Kluyveromyces lactis: one gene and its partner. The protein of the gene in region 1 interacts with the protein of each later gene in a biochemical or structural test. Links are inferred from orthologs where the notes say so. Each region holds a gene or a part of one and is shown in the gene's direction. Other genes may lie near its edges.

Region 1 (3,316 bases):
AACAGCGAAACGAATTACGTCTTAATGGCAAAGAAGTTAATCGAAGTGTACATCAACAACATCGAAATCTCTAAAAAGGTTCAGGCAAGAAACAAAGAAACATGTATTGTCTTGTTGAAACTAGCTGATATAAGAGCATCATTCCTAGCACGCCAATGGCAAAACACCCTACAACAGATTGAAGATCTCGATTTAATTCCGTTCACGGATGAAAGCTCGACCAGAAAAAGAGCACAAGAATTTACACATTTGGATGAGAATATATTAAAGAACATACCTAACCTGTTGATAATTACAATGCTATGCATTTCTAACATCATAAAGCAGTTGAACGAAAGTGATTACCAATCTTTGACTAAAAAGCAGCAAATCGATTCTCTCAAACGTGTTGCTAAAAATTGTATGATTTATGCTGGTATGATTCAATACAAAATGCCAAGAGAAACTTACAGCATATTAATCAATATAGAAGTTGGTTTGTAGCAGAGCTCTCATTTATGAGCACCTGAGTTATGTCAGAACCCAGACGTCCTACCATAATAGCATACAATAAAATAACCATGTGTAAGTCGATTGTTATTCGATATAATTGCCTGATAGATTATATATGCATATGTATATATATACATTTGAACTGCCAATTACCTTTTCAGCAGTGCATTGTTGTAGTGAGTAGAAGATGCAACGAAATGTACAAGAAGTGAAAGAGTATGCTGATCAAATTCCTAAATCATTGAGCGTCTTTTCTGTTCTTATCTCTATAAGCGCTGTAATCTGGCTGGACTTCGTATGCATTCGGACTTGGTGGACGTTTTTGCTCAAGCTTTTTTCTCCGCCTTTCGAGTCTTGCCTTTCTTCTTTCGTCAAAGCTTTTTCCCTCATCCTCGTCTGAAGAAGACGAAGATGATGAAGACGATGAATCATGTCCATGATTATGATCGTGCTCGCACTCTCCTTCCTCTTCTTCATCACTCTCTAATGGGGTATTAGGATGGAAAATGCAACAAATCTTAGTTTTCTTCTTGTTCATGTTCTCATTATCTATTACTTTCTCATCCCATCTTACTTTAGACTTGGTGTCCTTCTTCTTAGTTTTGTTTTTCTCATTCTGGCCAGCACGCAATTGAAGCAGCTGCGGAACCTCCGTAACAGTGACGGTATGCGTTCCTTCAGGAAGAGCAGAAGGTCCTTCACTCATATGTTAGGAAATATTTCAAAGTTTAATTATGATGATGGATCAAACTGATAAAAAAAGCGTGACGATAGGTAAAGTTTTCCTGTCTAAGTCTTGATAATCTTTCGTAATTTCACTTATCAAAGGACTGGGAACAAAGTATGAATAATGTAAGAAATCGTTTCCTATTTCTAAAATCTTCGGCGTCAATAAAACGGAATATTTTCTTCAACAAGTCGTGCTCTCGAGTATTTGACTGTACTAGACCATGGAGCTTCGCTTTGTATATGAGATATCCATGTATGCATAGAAGTACTCCAGTCTCATCTCATTTTTAAAGGGAAGAAAGAGGTTAAATATCTGAAGGTCAGAAAGTGGTGATGTTCGTTAATAATGACTACTAAATCCATAAGCCAAAAGAAAGATCGTAACTTTGTAATGCAGTGGCAAACAGTTTACAATTGATAAAGGTATAAGCAGATAATTCGTCAAGAATTCTCATCTCTGTACGTGTGGTATCCATAAGTCATTATTAGCAGTATTAGATACACAGTAATTGAAATCTACAAGACAATTGCATACTTCTCAGGAAAGAATAAGAATTTCAATTTGTTGGTACTTTATTAAGGAAGTATTATATCAAGAAACAGAACGCTGATACAAAAGCCAATTTATCGTCTCCGCAATTCAAATCCTTCAACAAAAGATGGAAAGTTTACAAAGAATGATGATGTCTCAAAGAGCAGGCATGATGGGTGCCAATGCCACCGAGGTTCCCCTTGATGACACCAAGGAAACTGTGTACATTTCTTCTCTTGCATTGTTGAAGATGTTGAAACATGGGAGAGCTGGTGTTCCAATGGAAGTCATGGGTCTTATGTTGGGAGAATTTGTTGATGATTATACAGTAAACGTTGTCGATGTGTTTGCCATGCCTCAGTCAGGTACAGGTGTTTCTGTCGAGGCTGTTGATGATGTTTTTCAAGCTAAGATGATGGATATGTTAAAACAAACAGGAAGAGATCAAATGGTTGTCGGATGGTACCATTCACATCCGGGTTTTGGTTGTTGGTTATCTTCAGTAGATGTGAATACTCAGAAATCATTTGAACAATTAAACAGCAGGGCTGTGGCGGTGGTTGTTGATCCTATTCAATCGGTGAAGGGTAAAGTGGTCATTGATGCATTCAGACTAATTGACCCTTCTACTGTCATGAGAAACCAGGAACCAAGGCAAAATACTTCTAATATCGGGTTGATCAACAAACCGAATATTCAAGCGTTGATTCATGGTCTAAATAGGCATTATTACTCGCTTAATATCGATTATCACAAGACTTCCGCCGAAATGAACATGTTAATGAATCTACATAAGGAACAATGGCAATCGGGACTAAAAATGCATGATTTCAAGGAAAGAGAGGAGCACAACTTGGGTGAAACTCAGAAAATGATTAAGATCGCTGAACAATTCACTAAGAGAATTGAGGAAGAGAGAGAATTGAGTGAAGAAGAATTGAAAACGCGTTATGTAGGAAAACAGGATCCAAAAAGACATCTTGCAGAGACTGCTGAAAAGCTCTTGGAAGACAATATAGTATCTGTATTAACAGCGGGTGTTAACTCTGTTGCTATTAAATAACCATCTTACATACAGTAAAAATACATCAACTTCAATTTGCGAGATAAGTTTTAGCCGATGAAATGATGAATCGATCCAAGAGTGTAGATAATCTGAATAACGAAAGCAGTTTCTAAACGCGTTGCCATATTTGAATGTAACATTCTTTAAGGAAAAGAAACTCTTTCTCAACCTTATTCACTTCAATGTCATCAAACTCGTACCATTGGTCGCGTAAAGTATCAGCGAGGTGTACTTTCCATCTGCTGGCTAACAAATCTTCTGTATCCGATATTTTCATTTGTATTACGCAATCATGGGTGATATTTACTAGTAATTTATAGTGTACACCACTGAATTCTAATTTTTCAGAGAACTCTACTAGAGTTTTGTTTCTATCTTTAATGGAAGTGAAGCCTTTGTCAAACCTGTTGAAATGAAGTATTAGGAATTTAGGATGCTTCAATATACGGTACGTTTTGATGGAATCTTTGGTATGGTATTCTGTTTCGCCATTGAAT
Region 2 (3,579 bases), on another chromosome or scaffold:
GAGATAAGGAATCATATCGTGTTTCAAAAATTCTTGAATCCAGAATATTTCTGGAAGGAAGTTTTAAATACCCCACCGATCTCAATCCTACCAATGAATAATCTTTTAGCGCCTCCATTAAATCCCACGAAACCAAGCCCCATACATTTATTATTGCCAACACCTACGGTGCTGACAATGCGTAAGCATGAACAATTGATAGGCCGGAACGATGTGATGGAGATCAAGTTCGCGGATTACGATTCAGATCTCATCAGGTACAAGGCGATCCTACAACCTTTGAACAAGACCGTTAGAAGTATAAGGTCGAATATTCAAACTTATTCGGCTGTTTTATCTGAACTCGGCGCGTATTTCAACGCGTTCAGTCTAGAGAATAGCGTGTTTCAAGTGAGTGCATTATTTGAACAAATGAATCGTCTATCGATGGGAATAGAGAAGACAGGTCAAGCAATCGATGTGAATTATGTTAGTGCAGAGATATTTAGTGAAGCAATCATGATCAGTCTAGAAGAGGGAAGCAAAGAAATGCTTCAGTTCATTCATGAAGCACAAAGAGTTCTTCACTTCAGAAATTTCAAGCAAGAACAATTTTACACAATTGAAACTACGATAAAGAAGAGGAAAGATAGAATCCGTGAATTGAAAGAGGCAGACCTACAAGCTGTACGATTGGGCGAGGCATTGAAATTAAATGCAGAGGAATCACCCACCGTTGCTCAAGTTATGGACTCCATGACGCGTAAGTCAGCAAACAAGAATCACACGGACAAACAGATAATGGGGCTTTTCAGGTCATCAGCATCTCCAAACAACAAGTCTGGATCTGATTCGATTTCAAGTGAAGTCGAACCTCATCTTCTAACTAAAGACGAACGGGTTGTACAGGTAAACAAACTAGAAAAGGAACTTGAAAAACTGAATGAATGTTTCAAACTCATCGAAAAGGACTTACAACAAGTCAATGAGTCAATGGATAACTCTTTGAATAACTTAGAGAAATATTTCCATGAGAAGTGGTTCCTCATTTTCCGCGAACTAGCCCACAATATAACATCATGGTTAAAGGATTGTTCAGAGTCTTGGAAAAATGCCAAACAGTCTATAGATAGCATATAAAAGGTTTATATCTCAAAAAGAAAGGCATGAAGTATTGCATTGAACTACATTATTTGATGATGAAAGTGCAGATGGAGATGATTTGCTGTCACATATCTAGTTCATCCACTTCTCACAGCATTTGTTTGGAGAATTGTCATTATTAACGACTTTCATGCTTCGATTGACGTTTTGTAAATATGAAATATATAGATCGATACACCTTCTGAAATGTAAGGTGGCGAACAGAATATTAAAGATTATAGATTAAGGCATACATCGCACGACTAACAGCACTTCAGCAAGCTTAAATAGTCAAAATATGACACACGAAATTGACACCATATTATCTACATTGAAGCAGGAAGTCAATAGTGAATTGGCCCCATTATTCGACGATTTTGAAGACTTGTATGAGAGGAAGCTATGGCATCAGTTAACTGAGAAGCTAGCGATTTTTTTCCATGATAGCAAATCAGAATCGTTCAGACTTCGCCTTTATACCCAATTTGTCAGTAAGTTCATTGACAAGATAAACCAATTGAATGTTGTTGAGTTTTTGTTGCAAGCATTACAAGAAAACGATGACACAGAAGAATCATTACAATATCTAAAGGATCTTCAAAAGGAATTCAAAGAAATTGATGAAAAGAAGCAAAGAAACGATGGTTTAAAACCTCATGTAAATGGGAACTTGTTGTTAGATATTGAGATTGCTCGTGTGAAATTGGAAAAGGGGGACCTAGTTGAGGTCAGAGACATCCTAGACGCTATTGGGAAAACACTTGATGTTCAAGATTCGGTACCTCTCAGAGTTACCGGTGCCTACTACTCGTGTAACGCTTCCTATTACCAAGTAAAGAAAGACTTCAACAATTTCTATTATACCAGTCTTTTATATCTCTCAACAATCACTTCGGAAGAACAACAGCAGCGATTGACACAACTCGAACAACAACAATTGGCATACAATTTGTGCATTGCAGCATTGTTAGGTGACAATATCTATAATTTCGGTGAACTACTTCAGCATCCAATTATTTCAAGTATTTCAAACGATAAAGAATACGAATGGTTATTCAGATTCTTGAACGCATTAACTGAAGGGGATTTCCAAAAGTTTGATCAAATTTCAAAAGAAAGAATTCCCAAGGTACCAATCTTAGCTCAACATGAGTCATTCTTGAGACAAAAGATTTGTTTGATGACTCTAGTAGAAAGCGTGTTTGCAAAGTCTATCAGAACGTTGTCTTTCCGCGATATTGCAGATGCCACATTTTTACCTATCGACAGTGTTGAACATTTAGTAATGAGAAGTATCAGCTTAGGATTGTTGAAGGGATCAATAGATCAAGTCCAACAATTGGTTACAATTACGTGGGTTCAGCCTAGGATCATCAACCAAGAGCAAATTAAAAAAATGAAAGATAACTTGATAAAATGGCAAGATGAAGTGTCGAAATTGGGTAATAAGATTGAAGGAAGGGGTAAAAGTATTTGGGTATAATGCTTAAGTATCGTCACATATTATATACTACGTACATCCGCTTAATATCTATGAAAAACGAAATCCACCAACATGTTTCATTGATCGGTTTGAATTTCTGAAAGAGTTAGACGATATATCTTGGAGTTTGTAATATACAGGTAGATACGTAACACACATAGTACTCGAATGTAGTAATTATACACATATGCTATTGTATCGTTCGAGAGCAAAATGGGTCAAAGAATGTCATATAATATAACCGTATGATGCTGAGTGATATGCTCATTTGTTCAACCAGGAAGTAAGATTATTAGGATACACATACGTCACGCTACGCAGAGATATCCCATGTTATGAAAGGAATGGGATAAATTGTAGGGAACAAATAAGCTGTAAGATAAGATGCAACAACTTTGAAGGTAGAAGTAAAGAGACCTTGGTATTGAAATAATGGGTTTAGAACTTAGTTTTGAAGTAGTTTTTCTCTTCAAAAAATACTATATCAGTTTGATCAGCGAGTTCTTACAGTTTATCATTCTTCTTTCTTTGGTTTTGGCTTAGACCATTCTGCGTGTAACATGAAATTCATGAAACCTCTGCCTTCCAATAATTTCAAAGCTTGAGCAGCAATTTCTTCAGTTTGGAAAGTAACGTAAGCAACACCACGGGATCTACCAGTTTCTGGGTTCTTGACGACGAATACTCTAGGAATCTCACCGAATGGGAAGAGTAATTCTCTTTTAAGCACTTCTTCATCTGCAAGTTCGTTAACCTGGGTCAATCTAATAGTCTTTGCATCATCACGTTCTCTTTGGTCTTGGTAAGCATTAGAAGATGGATCACGAGCACCAGCACGTAGGGATGGTGGCACGTATCTGCCAGAGCCAGAGCCTCCTTGAGCGCTCATATCTCCACCACCGATAGCCGGGTCTAAACCAGCAGATGTAGTAGGTTTCTTTCCCAAAGTGTCTTTGTACGGACAATGCATGGTG

The links.
Region 2: the proteins of RPN11 (region 1) and RPN9 form a complex in vitro, tested with the Saccharomyces cerevisiae proteins (2 studies listed by BioGRID). The link is inferred for Kluyveromyces lactis from reciprocal best matches to the Saccharomyces cerevisiae genes RPN11 and RPN9.

What each region holds. Positions count from the first base shown.
Region 1 is NC_006041.1:1,251,380-1,254,695, reverse strand, and holds RPN11 (proteasome regulatory particle lid subunit RPN11), read left to right. Parts: upstream 1-1,880; coding exon 1,881-2,816; downstream 2,817-3,316. Other genes in the region: linker nucleoporin NIC96, read left to right, coding at 1-483; type 1 protein phosphatase-activating protein YPI1, read right to left, coding at 731-1,198; mRNA splicing protein SAD1, read right to left, coding at 2,929-3,316. UniProt on the Saccharomyces cerevisiae protein: Component of the lid subcomplex of the 26S proteasome, a multiprotein complex involved in the ATP-dependent degradation of ubiquitinated proteins.
Region 2 is NC_006038.1:62,864-66,442, forward strand, and holds RPN9 (proteasome regulatory particle lid subunit RPN9), read left to right. Parts: upstream 1-1,420; coding exon 1,421-2,605; downstream 2,606-3,579. Other genes in the region: SNX41 (Snx41p), read left to right, coding at 1-1,119; TIF35 (translation initiation factor eIF3 core subunit g), read right to left, coding at 3,120-3,579. UniProt on the Saccharomyces cerevisiae protein: Acts as a regulatory subunit of the 26S proteasome which is involved in the ATP-dependent degradation of ubiquitinated proteins.